Linked DNA regions of Rhinolophus ferrumequinum. The protein of the gene in region 3 binds, or shares a complex with, the protein of the main gene of each other region. Links are inferred from orthologs where the notes say so. Each region holds a gene or a part of one and is shown on either strand. Other genes may lie near its edges.

Region 1 (7,410 bases), on a different chromosome or scaffold from region 3:
CTATCCTATACTTCGGAAAATACTGTCCTAATGAATTTGGATATTCCTGACATTCAAAATCCTCCATAATCTGACCTCTCTTTTGCCAATTTTTTTCCTGAGTTCTGTTCATTATTTCCTGAATTGCATAATTTTCCAATACTATTCCCTCTACCTAGAAAGTTTTTCCTTCCTATTGTTCTCTGTTGATATCCTATTCATCCTTCAAGACCCGTCTTACATACTAGCTCCTTCAAATATTCACTGAAACTCTTAACCAGCTGAAAATTGGACAGTATTTTGTTACAACTTTTCTTATTTCATTTTTATATCCTCACTGACATTGGTATTATTTATGTGCTTGTCTTATATCCCCCCCAGATAATCATATACCCCTATAATTATAAGGTCTTTAATAATATAGAGATCTTGTCTTACTCATTTTTCTATTTCCTGTAGAACCTAAGACACTACTTAGCAATAAGGACACTCAGTAAGTACTCATTGGATTTAAATGAAATCTTAATACAGATTTGTTCACTCTTAATGACCACATCTAGAGGTAAATCTAAATTCACATGCATTTCTGAGAAAGAATATTATTATAGTATTCCATTGTATTCCTTTTCCCGTTAATCTAATTTGATTCTCTTCTACCAAGCTATGTCTAGCCCTTCAGATTATAGGGAAGTAAACAATCTGAGGCAACATATTAGATTGGTTCATTCAGCTGTTTGACTGGGTGACTCTGTTTGAAGTAGTTTTTACAATGTCTTCTCCTCAAATTTAAAAACCACCTTTTCTTTATAGGAAGATTAAGAATTTTAAAATGTATGTTCTACATATAGGCTTATCTATCTGAAAAGATACTTAATTCCCTGGTAACAATGGTTACCTCCAGAAAAGATAACTGAGCAGAAAATGGACAGGAAAGACTTTTCATTGCATATACTTTTTACCTTTTAAATTTTATTCCAGGCATATACTTTTCCTACTAAAAAAAATGAATTTTTAAAATTAATATTCAATACCTAGTCTTGGTCTTTTGGCTGGTATCTCATCAGTGTCCACTGTAGAAAACACAGTGCTAAAAAAAAGAGAAAAAAAATATATATATATATAAATGCATATATACGCGTATAAGAAGCCTTAACAGTTAACCAGAAAAGCTGTTATATTTAACTGCATTTTTTTCACATGGAAACTATGTTACAGTGGTAATAAAGAATTTAAAAATTCAGAAAGTTATTGGACCTATACTTCTACAATGTTAAAGGGTCATGGTACACTACTAATCACCTTTCTAAAGATGATTACAACTGATGATATTTACCAAAAAAAGTGAACAGAATAAATCCCAGGAGAATACCACTGAGTTCATTATTTTGAACATCCCAACGAGAACTCCTGGCTTCATTTTGACTGGAAAAATGGCTCACACTGAGAAGCATTGTTTTTAGATCAATGATGTGTGGTAAAGAACAGGATTTTTTTTACCTCCAAACTACTGTCTCCCTGACTAGCAGGGATTTGTAGCAAAAAGAGAACAGGGCAGAACAAATTAACATTCCCTTATTCAGTGAATATGTACCAAGTGCCTGTAAATATGTACCAAGTGCCTATCATACACCAACCTTTGCAGGAGGCCCTCAGGGTAGAATAAACAACTACCCTTCTCATATATAGTATTAAGCATCATTCTAGGCACTTTACAACATGTTCTCAAATGATCCTTATATCAACCCTACAGAAAGGTGGAAAGGAAGAACAAGTTGAAACCTTACCCTCTTGGGAACACATAATGGAATTTAGCCAACAGTCAATTTCATCAATGACCTGCATTCTCAGACCCGTGTATTAATTATCTTATTCTCTCAAACTGCAAACACCCACCTTTCCCTGATAGGGAGGTTTAGTAAAATAATGAAATTAACACTTGATCACTAAAAGTTGGGAGGTGTATAGAATTGGTATGATATTTTATTCTCTAGATTAATTCTAGGCAAGGGGGTATTCACTATGAAATGGGACAAGCCAATGGGTACATGCTAAGTAAGAAGAGCTTTTAGTTTGCCCCAAATTTTAACCGAATTTTAGAGTACAGACTAGTGATGTTTTTAAAAGAATTAGGTGCCTATTTTTTTTCTCATACCCTAATTCTAAAGCACAGAACCACTCTCCCTCCCTCTCTCCCAACACACACACACACACACACACACACACACACACACAGTTTGACAGCTGTTTCAGAACAAGACAGCTGCTGTTTCGGTGCTAAGGGAACAGTACTTGCAGTCAAACGGCTTTGGGCAAGATATCAATCTCAACTGCACTCATTGCCCACAGATGACACTTGGGAGGGTGCTTTGTAAACAGTGAGCCAAAACACATTTTTCGGTTGCAATCTAAGAGCGGCAACAAATGATACCCATTCGATGACAGGAAACAGCGTGGACTCGGACAAGAATATCCAAGATCCTAACCATCACCGGCCGCTCCGAAGGCAACTAGCTCTTTCCATCAGGAAGAGCCGCATCCACACAGGGTGGAGGAAGCGACTACGTCACCAGGCAACCCGCGACCCGCACGCCTGCCGCCTCGGCCCAGTGACGCGTTTCGGCCGAGCGGGGCCTGCCCGGCTGGCTCAGCGCCATCGCGGCCGAGCCCGGGGTGGGGGAGGGGGGCACACAGGCCCGCACTCAGCCCCCTCTCCTCTCACCTGTTCGAGCGCCGCCTCTTCAGGGGGGCCCGGGCAGGGGGCACCGGCCGGTCACAGAAGCGGAAAATGGTGCCGAGGATCCTAACCAGCCATTTGTACATACCAGGCCCAAGCAGCAGCGGCGGCCGACACACCCCGAGACACAAACCCCAGAGCTGTCGCCGCCGCTGCCGCCTTCGCCGCCTCAGCCACCACAGCTAAGGTTCAGTCGCCGACTTGTGACGCGATCCGAAGGCCCACAGATACAACGTCCCCAGGGCTACCGGAGGCTCCCGCGAGCAACCGTTCTTGACGTCACCTCCTCCTACCCGACCGGAAAGCACCTTCCTCCTCAACCTGCGCACGCGCAACTTAACACGCCCCCCACTTCCGAACCTAGCAACCAGAATGCCGGCAGGACGGTAGTGGTCCAATCCTGGACGAGAGCGAAAGGGCTGTGGGCGGGGTTTTCTTTTCGGCGGACCCAATCCTGAGCCGGCCCGCGGGACAAGGCCCACAGGCTACACGTGAAGCTTCTCCTCCTGGGAGGGAGCGCCCCGGGACTGAAATACAGTAAATGTTTAAGTACACAAAATAAAAGTAAGTTAGGTTAATTAACAAATGTTTACTATACGAGGAGCCCTTTATTTTGCTTCTGCCTTGCACTTGACATTCATTGTCACCTTCGTTTCTCCCAACCGCAAGCAATGGAGAGAGTCTTGTCCCATTTTTAATAAATAAGGAAATCGAGGCATAGAGCGATTACGTTATTTGATTAATGTCACTAAGCTAGCTAGTGCCATAGCTGGAATTTGAACCGGGATCTGAGAACCAGCGCCAATCCCTCCCTTAAGATCTACTGACAGAGACAAATTACGAGATAACTGGCTGCTGTGATAAAGGTGTGTACAAAGTGCAGTAGGAGCCCGAGAAAAGAAACCCACACGCTGAGGGAAGGGAAGGGCAGAACTCCAGGATGGCTTTACAGAAGCTTAAGAATGAAAAGGTACCTGTGGCTCACTACTACCTACTAGTCTCCCTGTGGGCTGGCAGGGAGTGTTGCCAGCCCAGGGGGAGACTAGTAGGTACAAGTAAGCCACAGATACCTTCATCACATTTCTGGTATCTAGAAGTCACATTTCTGGTTAATTATCAACAACAGAAAAAGTCCTACCCTACTTACTGATAGAAAATCCCGTCCCACTCCCAAACAATTCTGGGAATATTCAAAGATTTTCATGCCCCACAAATCCGTCCTTGACTGCACTTGATCCTTACTTATGATTAAATTAAGGCCAGACTTCCAGATTTGCTTAAACTTCAACATAGGCACTCTCCAGTACAGCAATGTTCCAGAATTCTGCTGCAAGCCATCCCCTAGAGCTCCAAAACCACCAGCTACCCACCTATGGCTACCACCACTCTGGCTTCGGGCGTGGGTGTGGGGGCAGGCAGTTCCTAGAGGGTGGAAACAAATCCTAAATGTGGACATAGCCCCTCTCTTAATTCCCCAAAGCACAGCCAACACCAGGATGTTACTGGAAGTTTGGGAATACTGTAATAGGGGAATTGCAAAGCCTCAAATAAGATTTAGAAGTGGCTATTTTAAGTATAGCATCTATAGCCCATTGCTTCCCAAAAGGACTCTTCCCTGGCTCCCCCACCCCAGGTCATCGCTACACTCTTCTCAACAAAAGAATCCCCCTCCACCTCTAACCCAACCCATTTCAGGTGATTCTGTTAATCTAAGACTAACATTGATATTACTATGCAGAGCAATTCTGCTGTGTCCCAACTGTCCACTCCATTATGAGAGCTGGTCCTTGCTTTTGCCAAACCAAGAACATCACTCAAGTATTGGGAAAAGAGTCCCCAAAACACAAAAGCAGTCTCCATTCAAAAAATAAATCATAAAACTATAAGCTGCTGTAGAATATCAACTCCCAGGTTCTGACCACCGAGATTTAAGAAATATTAGCATCAAGTCTCAAAGTACTCTAGTACGACACCACATGTTTCATTTTTTCTTTTCCTACCTCAGCTATAGCACCTGCACATACCCAATACTGACATGTCAATCACCCACCATTAAAAGTGGGAGGGCTTTGGAATTACAGACCTCAGTCTAAATACCTGGGCCTCATCAGCAAATAGTAACTCATGAGTGTGTCAGCCGCCACCCCCACCCCCTGAATACTTGCACTCGTTTTGTGTCGTTCTACTGTCTCCAGTTGACCTCTGAAATGGAGAAAAGAAGGGGACTCAGCCTTACGGTCGCTCCTGCCTGGGACCTGTCTGCCCATTGATGCCTTCGCTGCCCTGTCATCCACAGTAGAGGCATCAGGCACTGCCCATCCATTGGTCAAAAAGTGGGATTATCCTTAACCCCACCACTGCCACAGCCATTCCCGGACCCAGAAACCCCACCGGGGGCCAGAGTTGAATCCCAAAGCCAAATGAAGTAACAAGGACATTGATATTTCTGCCCCTGGTTTGGATAACTTGCATCCTTGTACCACCACAGGGCCACAAGCTCATCGCTTAAGTTTTCAGTAGGTATCTTAAATGGTTGCCCCAGTTTTCTGAAAAGACGTCTGTCTGTTTCTAGGTTAGATCCTCTCTTTCAAGCCTTTCCAAGGCCCAGCCCCTCTTCCTCTAACTGGTACCTCCCCTCCACAGAACAATGAAGACCCAGTTCTCCAATCCATTCTTTAGTCTTACAAGTTTTCACTTTACCATTTTCCTCAGAGTGTTAAAAGATTTCCTTTCAACTTTGTTTTGGCTGACCCCTGAATAGAGTTCCGAGCCATTTGATGGAAGTGGGAAGGAGGCCACAAGTGAGATGTTCTTGGTTTCATCTTAACATACCTAAAATCTAACATCATTCACCACCCTGAAGATTCGTTTTCTTCTGGAGACCAACTTCTTTGCTACTCAAGAAAAATGTGTCCTCCTAATAACATAATTTTGATCTTATTCAATCTAATAATAACCTTGGCCTTATTATCCAAAAGCAAGTGCAGTTTTTCTTGTCCTAGATTTTATTATAAAATATGCTCACATTGACTACAAGTGGCTTGGCCTGCCTCGTGAGGAGAAATAATAGCACCAGACCCTACCTAAACTAGTTTCCTAATCTGTAAAATAGAGTTAATCAAACCTGCCTCTCAGATTTATGGGCTGATGAAATGTGTTTACATATGTGAAGGCCCAGCATAGCTAAATTCTTCATGTTTCCTTCCCCCTCCTTACTTCTCATATCTAATAAATCATTTAACTTGCCGGTTCTGCATCCTACATTTCCCACAGACCTGCTCCCTTCCTTCCCTTCTCCAAAGCCAAAGGAATGCTATCATTCAGGGCCTGGTTATTTCCCACACCATTGCAATAGTTACCTCCTTTTCTACCCAGTCCCTCTTCTGTGCTATTTTCAGAGTGATCTCTCTTTTTTCATCCTTTTTGTTGTTGTTGTTGTTTTGTTGCCTTTTGTTGTTGTTAAGGAAGGCAAATTTATATTGTTGTTCTTATTCAGTAAGAAAAGTAAATTTATAAATTAAATTTCTGGTTTCTGTTACTGAATCACTAAAATTGACTGGGGTGATTTCCACCAAATTCTAGAAGGTTTGGGGAGTGGTCTGACTTAAATATGGGGCGACCCTAAAATTTACTTTGGATAGCCCTAGGGAGTACTATGAAAAGAGAGAGGCAGTTATCTTGGTGACCAGCCAACACAGAGGTGCAACCAGAAGAGAAGGATGCCACCAGATGAGAAAGACCCTGCTGATTTAGACAGCAGGAACCCCTTGTAGGGGTTGAAAAAATAATACTTCCCTCCCACTTTCTAAATTTTTCTAGCTGGGCTAATAATCAAATAACCAGAGACAGATTAACAGAAGAAAATTAAATTTTTAATACACGTACATGGGGAATTCACAGAAACATTCAAATTCCAAAGACAGTGAGGTGAGATTAGGTATATATGTCATTTTGGACAAAGGATAAAAAGAGTGAGTAGCGTCTGAGATTTCAAAAGTGCGAATGCATGAGTCACAGGTAGTTGAGGAAGAGTGGAACATACAAGGCAGGTAAATGTTTGCTAGGCAATCCAGAAACAATGAGATGGGATAATCTAGTAAACAGCCCCTGTTTTACACCTTCCCATCCACCACACTCAATTTAAATTAGGCTGCTAAGGGGAACATCCTATGACTTCCTTACTGGAGTGGGTCTTTCCCTCTGAATCTCTTAGGCAGGAGAAGATGGAGGGTCAAAGTTTCTTTCTGAGTCATTTCTTTTTTTTTTATTTTCTGAGTCATTTCTTAATAAGCAGATTAAAACTCAATATCCCAAAAGGGAAAACTTTTGGTCCCCTTCACCCTCAAGTGGTTCACGATGTTTCCAAATGGGAGCCCAAGGCAGAAGTCACAACAATAGACCTTCCAAATTATAGGGGTGGATTTGTCCATAGATTTGCTCCTCGCACAGACAACTCTGTGTGCATGCTCCAGGAAAGGGTTGTCTGACGAAGGTGCAGAATTCTCCTGACCAAGGCTTAGGAAACCAACTAAGTAAAAGTAAAAACAAATTCCATTCTAATAACAACATTTTGAAACACTAACTTAAGATCCAAATAAATCTAAAATACGCCTTACCGATGGACATTAAATATTGGACATTGCCCTGAAATTTTTATTGATTTTATTTTTAGAACTTTTAGTAAGTAAAAGCACTTT
Region 2 (7,236 bases), on a different chromosome or scaffold from region 3:
TGTTCCTAATTTTTTTTAAACACTTAATTGTAGTCTTTATCAAAAAAGGAATTAAAATCTTGTGCTGTTTAATAAAAATAATAACCGCCATACCTACATTCCCAGATAGCACGGTATTACAACTGTGACTTTTCAGCAGAAACTAACTACTTGCATTTTATCCCACTAGAATCAAACGGAGCTATACGGAGGGAGATCCCACAGCAGCACTTACGGAGAATTCCACTATTAAGATTTTCGGAAGGGCAGTTTGGTAACATGTAACAATGTAAAATTTTCATACCCCTTAACCTAGCAATGGCATTTCTAAAAATTGATCCTAAAGGAATTACCGAATAAGGTGCAAAGATGGTTCGGCAGCATTATTTATTAGAGTGGAAAATCATAAACTCTTACTATCCACTCAGGTCGGAGAGCATAAATTGTGCACATCGTCAGAGATGTTGCTTGTTGCGAGACCCTGCAAGCTCCTTATCCCACGTTCTCAGCTTTATGACCCTGGATCTCTGCTCCCCGCACCCTCTCCCCGGCTCTTGGATGCGGCCCCCCCACCGCAGCCCGCCCACTGACTCACCTCGTCAGCTCAGGGGTGCGGTGGGTGGGGTTGGAGCAGAAGATGTTGTTGGACTTGCGCGTGCTGTCTAGGAACTCGCACACCGACTGGCTGCGGAGCTCTGCCAGGGGCCGGGCCTCGTGCTTGAGGAACCACTGGTGCGCCTCGAAGCACTTGGCGCAGAGGAGCTGCTCGCACTCGAAGCACCAGAAGTCGGCTGACTCTCTGCAGCGGGTGCAAACGGCCTGTGCATTAGCGATCTGCCGGTATACCGACAGGCGCCGCTGCAGACTCTCGAAGAAGACGTTATCCAGGGCCGGCCCGAGAGTGCCTGCGAGTTGGGGCGCCTTACAGATAGGGCACTGCATGCTGGGCACTTCCAGGCATCCTGAGCACAGCGTGTGCAGACAAGGCAGCAGCTTAGGGCACTTGGCTTCTGCCTGGCAGCCCTGGCAGCGCAGGAACTGGAAGTCCTCCTCCGTGGCTTGCTGAGGGGGGACCAGAGGGGAGGAGGATGAGGCCTGAGGTCCCAGGAATCCTCAACCACCCAATACCTGCCCCAAAGGCTGGAGGCTGGAATGGGATTTCACATTCCAGTCCAGGCAGTCATAGGATGATGCAAAACCCAGGTTTATCAGCACCCCAGTTTCCCATTTACTTAGGCCTTCTCACTCTCATTCCGCAATCTATTAAGTATCTACTTTCCATCAGACAAAGTACTAGGCCCTGAGATACAAAGATATATTTGTCTTCATGGAATTCAGTTTAGAAAGAAGATACATTAAGTATCAACCTCACATAAAGTGCTTAACAGTTAGGTGGTTCTTCAAAGTTAAACAGAGATCAACCATATGAGCCAACAATTCCACTCCTAGATATACACCCAAAAGAACTGAAAACACTGACCCAAACAGATCCTTGTACACCCACATAAATAGCAGCATTATTCACAACAGCCAGAAGGTGGAAACAACCCAAACGTCCATCAACAGATGAATGGATAAGCAAATGTGGCATATACATGCAATGGAATATTATTCAGACTTAAAATGGAAGGACATTCTGACATTGCTACGACATGGATGAACCTTCAGGTCATTATGCTAAATAACAAAAGGACAAATATTATATGAATCCACTTATAAGAAATTATCTAGAGTAGGCAAATTCAGAGACCGAAAGTAGATTAGAGATTACCAGGGGCTGGAGAAACGGGAGAGGAAGGTGTTAAGGGGTACGGAGTTTCTATTTGAAAAAAACCCCAGAAATATACAGTGGAGACGGTTACACATGGTTAATGTACTTAATACCACTGAATCATACACTTAGAAATGGTTAAAATGGCAGATCTTATGTTGTGTTTATTTTACCACAATTTAAAAAATGCAAAAAAGTGCTTACTACAGTACCTGGCACCTGAAAAGTGCTCATAAATGTTAACTAGTAATGTTAAGCAATACTATCCCTAGTTGTAATTATGCAAATAATACGAATTACTGCAATCTGTGCTTTCAAACGGGTCTGGAAGAACATCGAGCTTGTGTCTAAGTAGTTCCTTCGGGTATGTAAGGCTGGGGTTTGTCCGGAAGAAGATTAAGGCAAAAGCTTACAGGAGGAAAGCCTAATAAACCCCTCTTGGTGATAGGGGTTAGGCGAGTAGAGTGTTCCCAGAGAAGGATCTGGAAGGCTTCCTAGGGGAGAAACCACAGGAGCTGGGAGGCCTTAGCTGATACAGCTCTCTTGTCCGGGCCACGGTTTCCCATTCTGAGCTGGGATTGGGTGTTTTTTTTGTTGTTGTTGTTTTTTAACCCCCACACGTGGAACATGACCCTGGCTCCAGGCGGGGACTTTAGGGCTACTACCTCCATTCTCCTAACCTGCCGGCCTTGGTCACAGCAAGGGCAAAGAGGCAAGTCGGCGGCGCGCAGGCGGAAGTGTCCGGTCCCAGGTGGCACTGCTCGGTGGAGAATCGCAGCCCAGAGTGGCTCCCTTAACTCATCCCCTCGTTCCCTTTTCTACTCTCCCCTACCCCTAATCGAGCCAAGTGGGTCAGGACCCTGGCATCTGGTTTTCCCTCTGTGTACGTGGCCAAGTTCCCTCTGCCTTCTCATCTCTCCCACCATTGCAAATCAACAGAGCCGAAACCCCATCTCCCCAAACCCAGCAGTACCTCTGTGGGGCTGTGGCCGGGGCTGCGCTGCTGGCCTGCGGACAGGGGCTCCGGGGGAGGCATGGTGGACGTGTGGGGCAGTGCGGGGTCCTGCTGGGGCCCGGATGATCGGGCGGGTGCCAGCTCCTGGGGCATAGATCTCAGCGCAGTTTCGATTCTCGGATTTGATCTCAAGGGGCGGGAAAAGAGGCTGAACGAGACTCGTGCGCCAAATGGCTGAGTCTCCGGAGCTGTCCGAAAGTGGTGGTGCCGACTCACCGCCAGCCTCCCGGGAGGAAGTGACACACGAGCTGGGGGCGGTTCAAGGGGCGGAGAAGCCGACTGGGGGTTTCGAAGACACGCCCAGGGCGGTGAGGAGGAAGGCGGAGAGGAGACGCACAACTGACCTGGGGGTATGATCCGGACGATGGCCCAGCCAACCTGGGGGAGGCATCCCTTGCCCTCCGCTTTGAACCTTCCATCAGTTCACAGTGGTACAGCTTTGTGCCAGCCCTCCGCTGGAAGTCGGGGGACACAGAGATGAGCCACACGTGACTCCTGCTTTGGAGGAACCCCAGATCTAGTGAAAGGGCAGGCCCTCAAACGGAGATTTTTCACACTGTATTGAGACTGGCTGGAAAGGAGATTCCTCAGCTGGGACTTGAAACGGTGGGAATTCACCAGGGATTCAGAGATTGGGGAGACACTTTAAACAGAGCGAACAGCATATGCAAAGGCATGGAGGTTTGCAACAGGAGAGCCTGTTTAGAAAGTAGTTTGGGTTTTTTTCTGATTTAAGAGGGGACCCAAGAGCTATATCGGCCCAGGAGTGGGCTGGCGCAAAATCAAAGCTAAGTAGATGGACCAGTTTTATAGGCGATAGAGTCAGGTTGGAATCCAGGTACAGCGTGATGTGTTTGTTGTGCATGTTGTAAAGGTCACTCAGACAACCTAGGGGCAGGTGGCCTGGTCTAGGACAGTGGCTGTGCGATGCAAGGAGGGATCTGAGTCAGAGACACTGGAAGGACACGAGTGGAGATGAGGAGGACAGGGTGATGCCTTGCGTGACAGTTGGAAAGGCTGGTGTATCTGAGGCAGTGGGGAATAGGGGGAGGGGGAGAGCTGGTGAATGGGTATGAAGAGTGAGGAGAGAGCAAGTTAGCTATTGGCCAGCAGAGATGCATGCCAGACCCCCACCTGGTGAGGGGAGACTGCACAGCTCCAGGCGGCCTCACTGGGCCAGTGCCCCTGACTTCAAACTTCAAATCATCCCAACCGCTGTGCTGGCTCTTGGGTACCCATTCTGTGCTCAGTTACAGCTTGGAACAGGCTTGAAGGGATGGTGATAGGGCACTGCTCTTGTAAAAGTTTATGAAGGTGTGTGGAGGAGAAATGGGGGGAAACCCAAGTTCCCCGGGACTGTGTGAGGCCCCAGGAGCCGGCCCTAACCTCCAACCTGATCAGTACTCCTAGGGCTTTCGAATCAGGCCATCAAACTAGGAAAAGCCAAAGATGGTGAGCAGCCATCTGCAGAAGGGACCTGGAACTGGGCTATGGCTGGGGGACTGAGAGGCATGAGTAGGCAGACTGGCATGTGCCCGAGACAAGGAAAGCTTTATTAATTTCTTCACTCTTTTGAAAGACAGCCTGCCTCAATGCCCTATTGGAAGTTAATGCTTCTCAGATTAAATCCGCAATTTGCATTTGGGTTTGCTCAGGCGTGGAGAGTCACATTACCTCTGGGTACCTGGAACAAGGGATGTGCTATTTCGAGACCTGCAGGACTGAGGATCCCACGTCTGAGATGCTCTGGAGGGCCTGCCACGTGGTAGCTCTGTGCTAACCCTCCACTCCTTACTCCACCGTGCTCCCTGAGGTCTGCACATGAAATGTCTCTCTTTTTGTGCCCAAGTTCAGGCCCTCCCGCCCCACCTTGACCACAGTAACCTGGTCAACAAGTACTGAGATCCACTCTGTGCCAGTACCTGTTTGCTGGGCAGTGGGCACACAAAGTGCAATAATTTGCTGACCATGCCCTGGAGATACTGTAATTCTGGATAAGTACCCCTCCCCTCCCAACACACACATACACACACCCAACCCAGTATGTGAGTTTGGAGAGGGAGTGCTGAGAAGACTGGTACCATTTCCTTGATCCTGGAGAGGATTCGGCTCCTGAAAAACCCCTTACAAAGCCAAGTTCCTCTCATGCTCCTTTTCTAAGGCCCAGGCGGAACATGCAGGAGAAGGCGAGGACTCCTGCGGGCTCCCAGGAACGCAGCTCACCGTCCCGCCCCGCCGCCGCAGTTCGGTCCTCCTAGAGCAGGTGGCGCTGTGCGACGACCGGAGCCTAGCGGGCCAGCCTCCTCTTGCTGCGCGCCGGCGGGGCACGGAAACCCGGAAGCGGGGGCCGCAGGGGGGCGGCGCAGGGGCTGGCAGGTCGGGCCGCGCTCTTTGAGTGGGGGTGTGTCCCGTCAGGAGTCATGCTCGCCAGGTCTGGGTACCGGCCGCTGCCGTTGGGGGACTTCGACCGCTTCCAGCAGTCGAGCTTAGGCTTCCTGGGCTCGCAGAAGGGCTGCTTGTTCCCGGAGCCCGGCGGCGTGCAGACGGAAGCTGGTGAGTGGCCGCCCAGCACTGCGGACCCCGGGGGGACCGCCGGCATCCCCAGCGCGAACTCGCTGCCTGTCAGGAGTCGGCTGCTCTAGCGCTCGCACTCTAAGAGGAGGGAGCGAGACGGGCCGGCACTGGGCGCTGGATGCTGGCGTTGCGCGGCCCTGTCTGGGGCTGTGGGGCTGCAGCTGCGGAGCTCTTATCGTCTAGGAAGGCTCGTGCCACCTCGTTCCTCCTCCGCTCTTATCAGCTCTGCTTGCTGGGCTGTGGGCACACAAAGGAGAATAATTTGCTGACCGCGCCCTGGAGAAACCGTAATTCTAGATAAGCACGCCTGCCCTACCAGCACCCGCGTACACACCTACCCCAGTTCGTGAGTTTGGAGAGGGAGTGCTGATGTCATTTCCTTGATTCTGGAGAGGATTCAGCTCCTGAAAAAACCCCTGCAACGCCAATTTCCCCTCATGCACCTTTTCTAAGGCTCAGCGGAAACATGCAGGAGGAGGCGAGGACTCCTGAGGGACCCCAGGAATGCAGACAACCCTCCCTTTCTGAAGAGGAGGAAACCTGGGCATAGGTTTCAAGTTGCCGTTTTGACTAGAAAGAAACCAAGGTCTAGCCATAGAAGGTCATCCGCACACGAAGGGCACTTGGCTGCAGAGAAATGGCAGAATCTTCACCCCCAGGACACCTCTAGACTAGACACCCTGAGCTTGAACATCTCCCTGTTTCCTGGTGGAGATGCACTAGCCAAAAAGGCCCCTAGTGGTCTGTGGGTCTGCTCTGGCCCTGTCTTGCTTCAAAGCCTGAGTTCCACATTCCAGATCCCACATTCCTCAGCCTCACACCAAGCCGTGGAGGATTTGGTCCCTCCCGGGCCCTCCTGTAATGACAGCTGCCCCATCCAAGGGTTCCTTTCCTGCAGGGGACACGTGGATCAGGGCCAGGCAGGAAAGGAGACAGTATCCTGGGGTTCGGAGAGCCCTGAGGGTGTGCGGTTCCTGGGAAGATGGAGCAGAGGCTCCAGTCTGCTTCCCGTCCAGGGCAGGGAGGAAAGCAGAGCAGATAACCTCATCCCAGATTCTGAGGCTGCCTCAGCTTCACTCATCCTGGGCTCCTCTTCAGGGGCCAACACCCTGGGCTCAAATGAGCCTCCTCTTTCTAGTTTGCCCCTCCCCCATCTCCCACCTGAAGCTCTTTAAGTGAAGCATTCATTTGATGGTCCTTAGGGCATTAAAATGGACTGAAGAATGTGAGCTAAGAAAGAACATCTTAGCCCTCACCTATGGCTCCTATTGGTGAGTCATTAATGCTTTATCCCTTTGGGCTAAGGCATTATCTGCAAAAGGACTCCTTGAAAGCACACTTCTGGGACTGATGGTAGAAGAGGGATGAGTTATGCAACAGCAGTCAGTTCAACTCAGCTGGTGTTTACAGATGCCCAGATGCGCCTGGCTTTGTGCCATGTATGGGAAGGCAGTATAAATCAGACAACAAGACTGACTTACGTTCTGTCTGCCCAGTGAGGAGAGCATTACGTGGTTTGGCTTCTCAGATCCAGTGGCTGTTGCCCAGAAGAGAATAGCCTTGTGAGGGTGGGACTTGCACAAAGATATGGGAATATTAGGCAAGGAGGCAGATCGAGAGCCCTGAGAAAGAAGGAGCTGCTGAAGTGGGAGGAGGTCGAAAGGTACATTTGACTACGTTCACTCTGCCTGCAGTTGGCACCCCTTGCCTGCCTGTTCTCTTTCCCTAGATGCTCCTCAGACCTGGCCTTCCTGCATCTGCCACGGTTTCATCAGTTTCCTGGGGTTCTTGCTGCTGCTGATCACCTTCCCCATTTCCGGCTGGTTTGCCCTGAAGGTGAGGATGATTGGGTTGGCCTCAGAGTGGCTGGGTCTCACTGAGAGCTTTGGCATTGATG
Region 3 (8,002 bases):
ACTCCCTTCTAAAGCCACACCCTAGTTCTTCTTATTACCAAGAATTTCTCCACTTCTGAAACCTTGAATTCAAGCCACCCTTTTATTGCCATAACACACCTGAGGAATGTCAGACGCTTTGGTAATAACTGTGGTTTAATATGGCTGTGATCCTGAAGGTGAGAGGTGAGGAAGAAAGGAATAAACTACTGAAGGCATTCATCTGACTCTTAGAAGTTTGCTTAATTTGAAATCCCCACAGGTGATTTTGATGGATATACTACAAGTAGCATTGCTCTTGCTCTCTCTACCTGTGTCAAATCAATGAAGGAAGGGGAGTCAAGATCTCCTGGATTCAAATCCTGATTCCATCACTCATTTGAGTAAGTTCAATCTCTCTTGTCTCTGTTTTCTCATCTATAAGATGAAGATAGTTATTAGTACTCACTATATAGGATTAAGTGAAATAAGAAAGGTATAGCACTTGGAAGAGGGTCTGCCACTCAATAAATCTTAACAATTATCATCATCAACAACAATTATAGGCTAAAGACTTCCAAATCTCGTATCTTCAGCCCAGATTTCTCTTAGTGCTCCAAATTATATCAACTGCTTCTTGGACATCTTTCCTTGGATGATTCTGGGCATTGCACATTCATGTCTAAAACTAATCTTTTTGTTTTCTTTGCAAATCTATGGTCCTCATCTCCAAATTTTTCTATTAAATCTTAAAATAATATCACCATGTCAAGTGACTCAAATCAGATTCTAATCAACCACCAAAACCTGCTAATTGTATCATCTCTATTTCCATCTCTACTTCCATTGATCTAATTCCCTATTACTGTCTTTTTTTTCTGGACTACTACTACAGCTTCCTAACTTATTTCCCTCTCTTTTGTACACCACAAGCTGATATTATCACTTCCCCTGCTTAAAAACACTTAGTGCCTCCTACACCCCTCTACTTCCAACATTATGCCTTTCATGATTAAGTCCAAATTTCTTAATATAGTTTACTAGATTTTCAGTGAATGGGTTGTTACTTTCCTTCCCGGTATTTTTTTTTTCTACCTCCTACCTCACAAACCATGCTCCTACTGTACAGAACTTGTCGTGCTTGCTTCGTTCTCTCTTACCACTTCTCTAGGCCAGGAAATCTCTTTCCTCCCTTCCTCTAGCTCAAAATATGGTCTGTGGACTACTGGAGGACCTGAGACCTTTTCAGGGGCTCTTCAAAATCAAAACTATTTTCATAATAATATTAAGACATTTACTTTTTTCACTGTGTGAACATTACCATCGATAGTGTAAATCAGTGGTTTGTAAAACTGCTGGCATCTTAGCAGGAGTCAAGACAGTGATACTGTGCTAGTATCCATTTTGTTCCTCACTGTGATGCGCTTGGAGAAAAAAACTAGTGTCACCTATGAATGTCCTGGATAAAACAGTGAAAAATTAATTATGGTAGGCTGAATAATGGCCTCCCAAAGATGTCTACTTCCTAATCGCCAAAACTTGTGAATATGTTACCTTACGTGGCAAAAGGAACTTTGCATACTTGTATGTGATTAAGGATCTTGAGATGGTGTGGTTATCCCGGATTATTTGGGAAGTTCAATGTAATTACAAGACTTCTTATAAGAGGGAGACAGGGTCAGAATCAGAGAAGATGTGACAACAGAAGCTGAGGAGGGGGAGAAGGGAGAGGTAGAGAAGAAAGGGAGGAGAGAAGAGAAGGGAAAGATGAGGGAGAGGAAGGGGAGGAAAAGTACACAAGTGAGAATTATAAGCTGATTTAGCCACTTAAAAAATCTAACATCATTTTTATGTGACAGAATAAATGACAGGTTAATAGTTGTTATTCAGATTTGGAAATACTGCAGACGATTTCTTAAAAATGAATAAATGAGCTTAACACTTAAAGAAAATAACTGACAGTATTTGTTGTCAATGACAAAATTTGAGCTTTTATGCAAAAATTAGTATTTTGGAGAATTTGTATTCATCACTGTGAGTTTGGCAGTTTCCCAAGATTTAAAGACTTTTTCTGATGAGTCTGTGAAAATAATGAATATGATTTTTAGATATTGTATAATGAAATGTGTCGACATTTAGGAGATCTGTATAACTCAGCGAAGCAATGTTTTCTAAATGACAAATCCATTATGTTACAAAATTACATATGAGTATAATATCTACCCAAAGTGTAAGGTAGACCACTGATTTTTTTAATGTAAAAGAACTCAGAAAGGTCATTGACATGGTTTCAAGTTCCACATTTCAATTAAGAAACTACCACTTGTCGAGTTTAGGTGTGGTATCAAAGAAAATATTCAACTATCTGAACAAGCTATTATACCCATCCTTCCCCCTCCTCCAATTACATATCTGTATGAGACTGAATTTCCTTTACATAAACAAATTGCAACAAATATGGCAACAATTGAATGAAGAAGTAGCTATAAACTATCTTGCTGTCTTCTATCAAGCCAGGGCTTAAAATAATTAAAGACATTTGTAAAAATGAAAAACACTGCCACTCTCTCACTAGTTTTTTTTTTTAAATTTAGAAAACATGGTCATTTTTCATACAAATATGTTATTTGTGCCCATCAAGGGCTTATTGTTTTTCAACAAATTAATACATATTTAAAATTTTTTTCTCGGTTTTAATTTCTAATATGTTAAATATTGGTGGAAATGACATGAACAAAAGTTCTTCGAGGTCTTCCGTAATTTTTAAAAGTTTAAAGCAGTTCTGGGACCAAACTGTTTAGGAATTGCTGCTGTAGCTGATGTAAACTTACCCTTTGGATTTCAATTTAGGTTTTATTTTATTTCTTTGGAAGATTTTCACAGTCATCCTGGTTGGATGTAAATGTCCTACCTGTTCCCTTAATAATACTTTACTTATTATTAGCTGCTGTCTTAGGGCCATTGTATCTTATTTTTGTTTTTTTATATAACAATTTTCTTGAGATATAATTAACATATCATAGAGTTTCCTATTTAAAATGTACAATTTTCAGTTTTTTACCAGTTTCCCAGAGCTGTGCAACCATCATCACAATGTATTTGAGCATTTACAGCATTTTCATCACTTCCAAAAGAAAACCTGTATCACTTCCCATTTCCCCCTAATTTTCCAGCCCTAGTTGAAGTCTGGAGCAGTAGTCTACTAATCTATTTTCTGTCTCTATAGCTTTGCCTATTCTGGACATGTCATATTAATGGAATCATACTTTATGACTGGCTACTTTCACTTAGCATAATATCTTCTAGTTTCATCCATATTGTATGAGTACTTCATTCCTTTTTATGGCCTAATGGTATTCCATTGTATGGGTACATTACTTTTGTTTTCCATTAATCAGTTGATGGACATTTATTTGGGTTATTTCTACATTTTTTGCTATTATGAATAATGTTTCTGTGAATATTTGAGTACATGTTTTTGTGTGGACATGTGTCATCAATTCTGTTGGGTGTATATATATATATAGGAATAGAATTGCTGGATCATGGTAACTTTATATTTAACAGTTTGAGGAACTGCCAGAATGTTTTTCAAAGCATTTTATAGTCCCACTAAGTAGTGTATGAGGGTTATAATTTTTCTATATCTTTGTCAACACTTCTTATTATCATCTGTCCTTTAAATTATAGATATCCTAGTGTGTGTGAAGCGTTATTTCATTGTGGCTTTAATTTGCATTTCCTTGATTGCTGATGATATTGAGCATCTCCATTTGCCCATTTGTATCTCCTTTGAAGAAATGTCTATTTAGATTTTTTGGGTCTATTTTTAAGTTGGATTATTTGTCGTTTTATTATTGAATTGTAATAGTTCTTAGTTCTTTATATAGTTTGAGTATTAACCCTTATAGATATATTTGCAAATATCTTCTCCCTTTTTTTAGGTTGTCTCTTGAACACAAAAGACAAAAGTTTTTTACTTCAATGAAGTCCAATTTATTTTCGTTTGGTTGGTTGTGCTTTTGGTATCATATACAAGAAGCCACCCCCTAATCCAAGGTCAAGAAGATTTATGCCTGTTTTCTCCTAAGAGTTTTAGCTCTTACATTTAGGCCTTGATCCATTCTAAGTTAATTTTTCATATGTTCTAAGGTAGTGATCCAAATTCATTATTTTGCACGTGGATATTCAGTTGTCCCAACAACATATGTTGAAAGACTTCTTTCACCATTTAATTCTTGGTATTCTTGTCGAAAATTATTGATGTGTGAGGGCTTACTGATTTACTTCTGAAACTATTCTATTTCATTTGTCTACATCCTTATTCTCTATGCATTTGTCAGTAGGGCCATTGTATTTTAAAGAAGAAATCATAGGGGGATCATTCCTTAACTCAAAGCAACGAATTCAAGAGTCAGAATTAGCTACTGCTCCCCAACAGTTTAGAACTTTCAGCAGCCATCAAGTAGCCATCAGTAGCCATCAAGATCGTGTCCAATGGGATCCTTGTTTTGTTTTGTTTTGCCTCCGGCCCCCCAATCAAGGTCATGTGACCGCGTGGTGTGTGTGTGTGTGTGTGTGTGTGTGTGTGTGTGTGTGTGTGTGTGAGAGAGAGAGAGAGAGAGAGAGAGAGAGAGAGAGAGAGAGAGAGAGAGAGAGAGAGAGAGCGCTAAATCAAAAATGTTAGCTCGAGGGTAAGAAGCACTGGTATTCAATCCAATTTCTTTCGGGAGGTTGACGAGCAAGGCCAGGAGACAATAGAAGTTTCTTGGTTCAGCCTTCAGAAACGCGCAAGGTGTCGGAGAGGGAGGAGTCTGGGCTGTCAGTACTGTCCCAAACATTGATACTGGGGACGGGGAACTTTTCCTCTGGTCTCGGGATTGAGGTGCCTGGTCTTCGATGGAGCAGACGAGAAGGTTGTTAATTCGCTCGCGCGACCACCAGTCAAGCAGCTGATCTAGCACCGAGCCCCCCGTGTCGGTGTAGCCCCCACCCGTTTTCCCGCCTCGCCTCTTTTCCCTATCCCTGCTCCCAGCGCGTAGCGGAAGTGACGCAAGCAGTAGCGGAAGTCCCTCCAGCCGCGGTGTTGTGCTGTGGGGAAGAGAGACGGATTTGTAAACCCCGGAGCGAGGTTCTGCGTGCCCGAGGCCGCTGCTGTGCGGAGACCCCGGGGGAAGCCACCGTCACTATGTCTGACCAGGTACCGGGCCGGCGGCCGTCCGATGGCGGTGACTGGGGCCTTCCTCGGCAGGTCCGCCTGCCGCTGGGCTGGAGCCAGGGATGGAGGCGCGGGGGAGGGGAGCGCAGAATGGGGGAGGGGGCGGCCGGTGGGGACTCGGCGGGCGAGAGAGGGGAGTGGACTAGGGCCGGAGACGGCGGGGCCTGCCGCGGGCCTCCGGGAGCCGTCCTGCCCCTCTCCGGGCTCGCTCATCACCCTCTGCCACAGCGTCTCTGGTCGCGGCCTCCCGCAGGTCGTCCCCCTTGCAGAGCCCAGCTTCCACCTCCCGGGGAGGGTGGGTCCCCGGGGAACCTGTCTGCCTCCCTCCCAGAGGACTGGTTGCCGAAGCAGGGCTCTAGGCCCCAGTTATGTAACGGGAGAGAGTCTGCCCGGGAGGCTTCGTGGCCCTGAAAAGCGCCTGGACTCCACTTTTTGGTTCTCGGGTTTTGGGTAGCCCTGGAGTAGGGACGTTGGGGCGGGGAGGGGAGGGAGACATTGTCTGGTGTTGCTGGGAACCTAGAAAGCACTGCTTTCCGTTCGGATTGCGGCGGGGGCCGGGCCGCCGCGGCTCTTTTCTGAGTCTTTTTCCGTGTGGGGGTGCAGAGCTGTCGCCTCTTTTCTTGTACTTTTCCATTTCTTACTCGGGATTGGTTCAGCAACTCTCCATTTGTAAGGGAGCACTCAGAATAACCAAGAAACAAAGTAGAACAAAACCGCTCGAGCAACAGAAAACATTTCCCCTGGGCATTAACCTGGAGATGACTGATACTTTTGAGGAAAAGGATAGGAATACTGTATATACTCGTGTATATACTCGTAGAGCCGTTGCAGGACATTTGCAGAAAGCTGCCTGTTACGGCAAAGTGCTCCGTCTTAATGTTAATATCAATGATTTACTTGGGATTTGTACTTAAATCAGGAGCGTTCGATTTTCCGTGGTAAGTTTTTCATATTTTCCTAGTTAACCACGTTTTACGGCTAGTTTTTAATTAATAAGGTTTTTGTCTGGTCTTTTGTTTGCTCAGACGACTTTGACTTTTCAAAGTATTTTTAGACCTTTGCTTGTTTAGTGATAGTTATCTAGAAAACTTTCAGTCAACTCCCTAATGTACTTGAACTTAAAAATTTAACACACTTATATTCTCTTGGCATTTAACCCGGGTCAGTTTTCTTTCTACAGCTTGGTGAGAGCGAGTTCGGCTTTTGTGGATTTGTACTAGTGTGCAAAATGTACATAAAAAATTTTAAAGTTTAACCATAATCTAGATTAGTTTTGGGGATCTTATTACTAACGGTCTAGGTTAATTCCCAAGTTGGTATGGGAATGGCCGTTATAAGTATCTACCTAGATAGTTGTTTACTTGGTTACCAGGGAGTAAATGAACAGGTGTAAATGCTTAGTTTTCATCAGCCTTTTATTTTGATGCTCAGAAGTGACTAGGAAGCATGTTGAAATTTACTATAGTGTGATGAAAGAGTAATGTACAGAAAGAATTATAAAGTAAATTGTAGAGTTTATTGCTCCAGTTTGAATTCTGGTCATTTAGAAAGACATGAAGGAAGAAATAAAGGACCTAAGACACTAACAGGTGGTTTTAGGCCAGAGGTTCTTTAGATTCTTTTTTAGGGGGCCTCAAAATTATTTTCATGATAATACTAGGACATTGTTGGTCTTTTTCATTCTGGTTCTTTCATGAGTGTTCAGTGGAGTTTTCTAAAGACTAACGTGACCTGTGATATCACAACAGATTGAAATGTAGAAGGAGATGTGAAAAGCCAACTGCTTTCTATTAAGCCAGACATTAAAGAGATTTGCAAAAATGAGGAACAGTGCCACTCTTCTCATTAGTTTTGTTCTGAAAACTTTTTAATAAAACTGTTATTTGCTGATATATGAAGGGTTTGTTATTTTTAAATGAATTAATCTTTAAAACATTTCTCAGTTTCAATGTCTAATACTATAAACCTCAATAGATATAACCAACCTGACAAAAATTTTATGGGGAGGGGGGTCTAAATAATTTCTAAGAGCATAAAGAAGTCCTGAGACCAAAAAGTTTGAGAATTGTTCTAGTCTGATAGACCAGCATCATTAACAATTGGGACCCAGTACAATTTCATGTTGGGTGCTAAGAATTTAAAGAGGTATAAAGTTGAACTCTTACCTTTAAGAGGCTTATGAACGGGAGTAAGAATCCCAAGTTACCACTGTGCAATATCAGCAGCATGAGTCTGAACCAGTGCCCCCAAAAGACAATCTTTATTTAAACAAAGTTTTGTTAGAATGTCTTTTCTGAGGCACCTTTCAGGAGGTTATTGTCTGGTGCTAAGATACTGAAATTGAGTAATAATTTCAGGTTAAAATAGGGGGGCATTAAATTCATAGAAGACTTAAATTGCTGGGTTCTCCATTGATTAAAGAATATTATATTTGGAATTTGAGTGAAACACTTTTTTGCAATTCTAACAATCCAGCATTGTCCAGTGGATTTGTGGACCATTAAAAAATAATCATCTCAAACATTTTAAACCCAAGTTTCGTGGACCTAAAGGGCTGAAAATTCACTGAAATTGTTATGGAGTGTTTTGTGAGTATTTGTGCATATGTTTTTTCCTTTCTTTTTTTACGGGAGAAAGGGCCCATAACTTTCATCAGGGATACATGATCCCTCAAAAAGTTAAGGAGACCCCAGGATATTCAGACTTATGGCAGCTCAGGGCCCACAGAGAGAGTGACGTGAGTTGTTCCCAGAGAACCCCAGGTGGAAACCTCAAGCCTTCTAGGACCTAGCCTTGAAAGTCACTTCTGCCTTCTTAGGCAAATCA
Region 4 (6,987 bases), on a different chromosome or scaffold from region 3:
TAGATGGAACTAGCAGTGAGATTTTCCTTGTCATACCTGCTTCCTCCTCTTCCTCCTCCTCCTCTTCATCCCCCTGACCTTCCTGCGTCTGTTCCAAGTCCTCCTCCTCTTCAGAATCTGTGACCTCTTCCTCCTCCTCCTCCTCCTCCTCCTCCTCCTCCTCCTCTTCCTCCTCCTCCTCTTCTTCATCACTTTCCTCATCTTCGTCCTCGGTCTCAACCTTGAAGGTGGTAGGGCACTCCTGGGATGCCATTCCACTAGGGCCCTGGGGGACAAAGGACTTTCTCTAATGAATCCCTTGCCCCAGAGGGTCTGGTTCTGTGTTCCTTCCGCACACTCCCCCATGGGTCACCGTGGAGTCCCTGCTGGCCAGTGCAGGGGAAGGACAAGGTGTCTCTGAAGGGTAGATCCCTTCCATACCTCACCAGAATCCAAGGAGCCTTTGGGGGGGTCCACAGAATGGGAAGAGGTGGCTTGGGGGAGCCGGGCTCTTCTCTTCTGTCTCTCGCCCTCCTCACTCTTGTCTTGCATCATCGCATATTTGGAGATGACTTCATCCAGCCGGCTCATAGCTAAGCTCCGGTTTTCCCGCAGGCGCCGGGCTAGGGCAGGATCTGACAGTGCGGGGTCAACGCCTATGTGGAAAGATATGAAGTCAAACCCTAGAAGAAGGGACTAGAGAGATGCCCCCTCTACCACACACCTGATATACACAAGGGTTATTGATGGGCATCACTAATCCCTACCTGGTGTATAGTCATCTGTGAGGTGACAGCCAAAGTTGTAGATGAGATCAAGGTGGCGTCGCTCCTGTAACCTGACGCCCACGTCTCGGAAAGCATCCTGAGCCATGAGCTGGAGCTGCTGTCGGGGGAGGCCAAGGCTGTGGCGGGCAGCTGCCTTCTCTACAGCCCGCAACACATCTCCATAGTCAGGGAAGGCATCAGGCCCCGGCTTGTTGATGAGCCGTTCGATGCGCCTGTTAACCTCTGGGTAGCGAGTCCCACGGTAGGGAATGCGCTGCTCTATGACCCGGCCTGTCAGTGAAGAGCAGTCTTTCAGTTCACACAGCCGCCCAAAGAGTCGGATTAGCTTCCGTTTCAACCTTGCCTCCTGCAAGTATGTGGAGTCTGGGTCATCCAATTCTTTGAGATCCAGCTCTTTTTCCTGCAGCCTCTGAATCTCTGCCACATAGATTGCTAGCAGTTGCTCCAAACGCTGGATCTGCCGCCGGGAACCACGGGTCCTTGGGGCCTCAGAGCCAGTGGCCTCGGCATTTGTGGCATCCGTGGAGGTGTCTGTGGGAGGGTTACTCCCAGAGGGCTCGCCAGAGGTGGTGGCAGCAGGGGCCAGGTTCAGCTTTTTCTTGGCTGAGTGAGCCTTGAGAACAGTGCAGAGCTCGTTAATGTGGACATAGAGCTTAGCTGGCCTGCTCTGGGCCCGAGACAGGACCCGAGAGAGGATGTTGTAAAACTCCGCTGAGGCCAAAAACAGAGAGTGGGCACGCTGCTGCCGTTTACAAAGGAACGGGACCACGTCAGGGTGGTCTGCTGTCTGCGCCTTACACAGTTCAAGGAACTGGAGGGTTCAGGGGAAGAAGGGAGGGGGAAAGAGACAAGGGAGGGGGTTGAGAGAAAGAAGGCATGGCGGGATTAGTGGGGGAAAAAAGGACAGGAGAGCCAGTGAGCCACCCCCTCCCTGGGGTACAAGAATCTTCTCCCCTAAAGCTCACCTCTTCAAACAGCTTCTCATTCTCCAACTTGTAGCATTTCTTGCCGCCCGAACTACTGCTTCCTCCAGCCCCATGGGGCTGGGAGGAGCCAGGGGCTTCTGCCTGGGGTGAGGCCGGATTGGGGGGTGGGTGAGAGGGCCCTGGCTGAGCAGCTTCATCTTCGTCATCATCATCCAGCACAATGATGCTGTTAGCGGTAGCCATGGGGGATCAAATCCCCCGGAGGGAGGAAGTGTTGGGGATTTCGTATTTCCTGCTGGAAGGGGACGGGGGCCTTAGAAAGAGCCCCTCCAGCATAGCCCCATCCCTTCAGCTCACACATTTTTCAGTGTTCTTGGGTTTCAGTAACACCCAGCCCTGCCCAACAGTGTCCTCACTGCCTGTCTTCAGCAACCATTAGCACCATGTTTTCTGGGGCCCCAAACCACCTGCGACCTCAAGTCCCCACCCCAGCTCCACTCCCCATATCCACGACATCTGGTCTTTCAGTTTCCATTCTCCACTATTTGTCTTAGTTGGCAAACTGCCTTTTCCTCCCAGCCTCCGGGCCACCACCTCCCACACTGCACTCCAGATTTCACCTCGCACAGGTGCTACACCCGTCAGCGCCACCATTGGCTCTCAAACACGTCAAACCCACACCCTCACCCCATCCTGAAGGATCTCCCCAACTTCTAGACTCTGAGGCGAAGAAGGTTCCCTCTCAACCATACATTCACCCCTTGTAATGTATCTCAGATTCCACCCGCCGAAGGGTCTCAAACCGGGGAGTCAGGTTGGAGGTATTTCACCTCAAGACCCTTCCCTCTCACCCCACCCTAATTTTCCTCATACTCTCGGTGACCTGTAACCGCTCGTGAGCCCCGCACTGGGCTCGCCCGATTCCTCTCGGATCCCAAGCCTAAGTCCGGCCTCTTCCCCTAGATGAGCTTCCCGCCAAGTCCCCCTCCCCCAGTTCAGGCCCCACCCGCCCCACTCCCCTTCAGGGATAGGAAAGAAAGCTTGCCCCTCAGACTCAGCGCCCGGGACTCCCCAACACCTCTCCCTCGACATCCCCACCCCCACCTTCGACCCCCGCACAGTCCGGGCCCCACCTCAGAAACAAACGGCCTCTCCAAACGACTCTCACCGCAGATATCAGAAGCTCGCATGGTTACCTCCGCCTTCCTTCCCCCTCCCACCGCAGGCCCGATGCTGGACCGGAAGCCGCAGAGTTTCCGCCTCCAGTAACCTAAGCGCCATATTCTCGTACGGAACCCAGTCCCCCCCCCACCTCCCCCTGTGGCCGGAAGTGACAATAGGTCCGATCCCCGAACGTTTCTGGAGCTTCCTACATTGTATGCGGCTCCCTTCCGCCCGACCTGTAGGAGGCGAGCTTATCCCCGCGGCGCTTCCCTAAGTACCTGGGGGCCGTCATTTTGCCGTACGGCGTTGACTCAGCCCCGACTCCAGAGCTCCGCCAGTGGATGTCTTTCCACCCAGCGCTTCTGCGACTCCGCGAATCAGAAACTTCCTGCCTCCCGCCCAACCGCCGGCTAGGCGCGTGCCGGGAGGACTGAGCCACCTTTCCAAGTAGGGAAGGGGGGAACGGAAAACGGCCGCTGAGGAATTGGGCCCTCCAAGGCTACGCACTGGTGCACGAAAGGGCGGAAACCTCTCACGAGGGAAATAAAACCTTTTCCTTTCGATGGGCTATTGACCAGCCTTCCCGCGTTGCTTTCCTACCTGCCAGGTACCCGTCTCCACGGCTTACTCCACGGCGCTTGCCCCTTCCCGTCTTTGGGCTGCGCACTCCCTTGCCGCTGTCCAGCAGCTTCTTACATCCTGGCGTCTCCAAGTGTTTTGAATCCAGGTGTTCGTGACATCAAAACACTTGCACACAAATAATTACAACGCCCCACACAATGTGTTATTGTTATTATTACGATTGTTGTTTTGCTTTTCAAGCTTCACCACAGACTAATTACCAACCAAGCAGGTGGCACCTACGTGATTCTCCGTACTTTTCTGAAGGGGGTCCCTGAGGCTCAGGTAGTCATGACCCAGAAGACGTGCTTTGTCCGGGAGCTTCGGGGCCTAAGGAGTGGCGATATGGGGAGGCGGAAGGGAGTTAAGAAGAATCTCTGCGAATTGCCACTGTAAGGGCTGTAAGATGAAATGAGGCTCGGAAAATACCGCGGGTCTCGTCTCCTCTTCTTTCTCTGGGAGAGCTGAGGAAAGAACGAACAGAGAAGACACAGACTTTGACGCCCGCCTCACCCGCATCCCACCTCGCCCACTTTTAGGGAGGCTGGAGGGACTCATGGAGGCAAGGCTGGGTCCAAAGGTGAGCTTCTGGGGGAAACCGGAGAGGCTAAGACTGTTCCAATGGCTGAGTTGCTCCCCTCTACATCCTTGAGCATTCCACAAGTGGTGAGCATCTTATCACTTTCTAGGATCTCCGCGGTCCCTACACGTCCAAGCCTCAGAGTCCCAGAACCTCAAACGCTCCCTTCCATTAATCTCACATCTCTTCTTTCCAGTCGTCTAAACCTACAGTCTTCAAACTGGGGAAAATGAAAACTCCCCAAAGAGCACTTGGACTTGGGAGATGTTAGAGATTTAATTTCCAGATCCTCAGCTTTCCCAAAATTTCTCCTGAATAAATACCTACAATAGAGGTTCTTTTTCTTTTTCTTTCTTTTCTTTTCTTTTTCATTTTAAGATTTTATTGGGGAACAGGACTTTATTGGGGAACAGTGTGTACTTTCAGGATTTTTTCCAAGTCAAGTTGTTGTCCTTTCAGTCTTAGTTGTGGAGGGCGCAGTTCAGCTCCAGGTCCAGTTGCTATTGTTAGTTGCAGGGGGCGCAGCCCATCATCCCTTGCAGGAGTCCAACTGGCAACTTTGTGGTTGAGAGTCCACTGGCCCATGTGGGAATTGAACTGGCAGCCTGGGCTTTAGGAACACAGAGCTCCAACCGCCTGACCCACCAGGCCGGCCCTAGAGGTTCTTTTTCTTCCTTTACCCTTTTACAGTAGACTTTCTCCCTCTTAAAAAAAAAAAAAAAGTATAGTTTTCAACCCTGAAATCTGGAGACAGTCTTACCTAGTGTCAAATAAAGAGCTATGTAGCCAACTTCTTTCATTAAGGCACCATAAACACCACCTCGTCTATCTCATTAAAAACATTTAAAAATTTTTTAACAATTATAAAAATGTGTACAATCTTCATGCCATTTGATCGGTTCTGCTCTCATAATAATTGTAATGATAACCCTGAAGAAATTTTTTTAAAAACTAGAGTTTTGGGCAGGCCCAGCCCGGTGGCTCGGGTGGTTGGAGCACTGGTCCTTCTAGTGCTCAGGTCAACAGTTCAGGTGGCCGGTGGATTCCCACATGGGCCAATGAGCTGCGCCCTCTACAGCTAAGATTGTGAAAAACAGCTCTCCCTGGAGCTGGGCAGCTGTGAGCACCCAGAGGTTGACGTAAGCTGCCATGAGCAGCGGTGGGCTACCGTGTGCTGCCAGGCGCTGGCCAGCAGTGTTGCCAGGAGTGGCTGGCAGCCAGCCGGCGAGGTCTGCCATGAGCTGCTGTGAGCAGCCAACTGAGGACTGGCGATCCACTGCCTCAGCCGGGGGAGCGCAAGGTTCATAATAGCAGCATGGGCCAGGGAGCTCTGTCCTACACAACTACACTGAGAAACAGCGGCTTGAACTGGAATGGGGCTGGGAAAGTGGAGGAAGAGGGGGAAAAACGAGTTTTGATCATAAGAAAGAAAAATATTTTTCATCTCAGACTTTTAAGTATAAAAGCATAAAATTGTCTCTGGGGAAGGGGAATGGTAATGGGAGTTCAAGGAGAAAAGAGAAAAGGAATGATTCCCAATTGTTAAGAGCTTATTTATGTATTTTTAAATGGATGATAGTAGGTATCAAATCACTCTGATATTTCAGTTCTTCTGGACATTCAAAAGAGTGATTAAATGTTTTATTTTAAAATGTAAATATTTTCAATATGCCAGGAATTACATCCTTGAAACAATTTTTAATTATGATGAAAATTTTTAGATGCTTACTGAGAAATATAAACCTGAGGAGTATAAACCTGTTCAAAATTATTTCCTAGAGTATAGGTGACGAAATTTTAAGACAGCTGCTCTAACCTCTCTAGGTGTCCCCTCCACAGCCCCCAACAGTCCCATTTCCCCCACCTCCCCTCTCACCTCTGTGGCAGAGTAAGAGGATGTTTATAGGAAAGGTGGTCACAATTCGAGTTCCTCCTCTTTCTGAGGTGACCTCAAGAGCCAGTGCCCAAACTTTGCCCATGGTAGTGGCCACAGCAGCTTATAAAGAGCCTCCAGCAGTAGTAGTGTCAGAAAGAAGGCCAGGAAGATAAAGAAGGCCTTGTCTAAGGCCCGACGTAGGGGACCCCTGGAAGGAGGAGGACCCTGGGCAAAAGCCAGGAACACATCGTCCTCATCCATGTCACCCTCCTCCTCTGCCATTGTAACCTACAGTCTGACAGCTGGCTGGATCAGGGAGGCTAGGCTGGAAGCCCTTGCTCAGCAATGCCAGGATTAAGGGGCGTGGTGGGGCAAGTCCTTCACCTGCCTGGTTTGACCCTAATTCCCCCACCCGAGAGAGAAAGGAGAGTAGAGCTTCTGAGCTTTTGGAACAATCATGTAATTATCCAATGCAATGTGAATGGACTGGACAAAATAATTCCTAAAGTCTGTCCAGCATTATAATTTTGTTTTGGAAACTGAAGGCCCAACATACAGACATGAAGCTGGAGCTGCCCAAGTCATTCTGGGTCTCTAGGCTCAAGGCTCAAGGGCTTGGGCCACCACAGATAGAGCATGAACAAGTGGACCTAGTATGCTACTGTGAGCTGCTGTCAGTCAAAGATCTAAAGGCCATTCCAGCTTTACAGTGGGTAATTGGGGTGGGGGCGGGACTCTCTTAACCAAGGCTGGTGGGGGACAAGCAGCTGCAAGAACCCAAGGAAGGGGAGGTTTATTAAAAAAAAGAGAGAGAGAGAGAGAGAGAGAAACACCATGATTGGTCAGTGGGGCAAGGGTTTATGATTGAGATTTAACTGTTGGGGCAATAATAATGAAGAGTGAGATTTTTCTGTGGGAGGTCCTGGTCTGAGAGTTGCTGAGAAATGTCCTCCAAGAGATTGTCTTAGAGCAAGGGGTGAAAGCTTTTTCTTGACCCTGTTCCCCAGGCACTGGCCTGAAGGTATGTGAGGGAAATCAAAGCCCTTATGGAGA

What was found.
Region 1: the proteins of SUMO1 (region 3) and SENP2 are in contact, whole or in part, in a crystal structure (PDB 1TGZ), measured with the Homo sapiens proteins. The link is inferred for Rhinolophus ferrumequinum from reciprocal best matches to the Homo sapiens genes SUMO1 and SENP2. Residues at the interface, in NP_001005781.1 of Homo sapiens: Asn60, Arg63, Leu65, Glu67, Gly68, Gln69, Arg70, Ala72, His75, Glu89, Tyr91, Gln92, Glu93, Gln94, Thr95, Gly96, Gly97; in NP_067640.2 of Homo sapiens: Asp386, Lys394, Leu395, Arg396, Trp410, Leu411, Asn412, Asp413, Glu414, Thr440, Phe441, Pro444, Lys445, Arg456, Trp457, His474, Val477, His478, Trp479, Met497, Gln542, Gly545, Ser546, Asp547, Cys548, Gly549.
Region 2: the proteins of SUMO1 (region 3) and PML are in contact, whole or in part, in a crystal structure (PDB 8DJI), measured with the Homo sapiens proteins. The link is inferred for Rhinolophus ferrumequinum from reciprocal best matches to the Homo sapiens genes SUMO1 and PML. Residues at the interface, in NP_001005781.1 of Homo sapiens: Gly19, Glu20, Tyr21, Ile22, Lys23, Ser32, Glu33, Ile34, His35, Phe36, Lys37, Val38, Lys39, Thr42, Lys46, Leu47, Ser50, Arg54, Glu84; in NP_150241.2 of Homo sapiens: Glu554, Arg555, Val556, Val557, Val558, Ile559, Ser560, Ser570, Ser571, Ser572, Arg573.
Region 4: the proteins of SUMO1 (region 3) and DAXX are in contact, whole or in part, in an NMR structure (PDB 2KQS), measured with the Homo sapiens proteins. The link is inferred for Rhinolophus ferrumequinum from reciprocal best matches to the Homo sapiens genes SUMO1 and DAXX. Residues at the interface, in NP_001005781.1 of Homo sapiens: Lys17, Glu18, Tyr21, Ser32, Ile34, Phe36, Lys37, Val38, Lys39, Thr41, Thr42, His43, Lys46, Leu47, Ser50, Tyr51, Arg54, Gln55; in NP_001135441.1 of Homo sapiens: Glu731, Glu732, Ile733, Ile734, Val735, Leu736, Asp738, Ser739, Asp740.

What each region holds. Positions count from the first base shown.
Region 1 is NC_046285.1:59,833,715-59,841,124, forward strand, and holds the start of SENP2 (sentrin-specific protease 2), read right to left. Parts: upstream 3,013-7,410; 5' UTR 2,800-3,012; coding exon 2,699-2,799; intron 1,067-2,698; coding exon 1,011-1,066; intron 1-1,010. UniProt on the Homo sapiens protein: Protease that catalyzes two essential functions in the SUMO pathway.
Region 2 is NC_046289.1:98,761,247-98,768,482, reverse strand, and holds the start of PML (protein PML), read right to left. Parts: upstream 3,005-7,236; 5' UTR 2,859-3,004; coding exon 2,724-2,858; intron 1,042-2,723; coding exon 575-1,041; intron 1-574. Other genes in the region: STOML1 (stomatin-like protein 1), read left to right, coding at 5,186-5,318, 7,069-7,175.
Region 3 is NC_046291.1:29,338,294-29,346,295, forward strand, and holds the start of SUMO1 (small ubiquitin-related modifier 1), read left to right. Parts: upstream 1-5,001; 5' UTR 5,002-5,146; coding exon 5,147-5,158; intron 5,159-8,002. UniProt on the Homo sapiens protein: Ubiquitin-like protein that can be covalently attached to proteins as a monomer or a lysine-linked polymer.
Region 4 is NC_046286.1:3,663,014-3,670,000, forward strand, and holds the start of DAXX (death domain-associated protein 6), read right to left. Parts: upstream 3,013-6,987; 5' UTR 2,884-3,012; coding exon 2,836-2,883; exon of another isoform or gene 2,827-2,835; intron 2,210-2,826; coding exon 2,205-2,209; intron 1,989-2,204; exon of another isoform or gene 1,937-1,988; coding exon of another isoform or gene 1,920-1,936; coding exon 1,733-1,919; intron 1,579-1,732; coding exon 747-1,578; intron 636-746; coding exon 421-635; intron 266-420; coding exon 37-265; intron 1-36. Other genes in the region: SMIM40 (small integral membrane protein 40), read right to left, coding at 5,974-6,216. UniProt on the Homo sapiens protein: Transcription corepressor known to repress transcriptional potential of several sumoylated transcription factors. Down-regulates basal and activated transcription.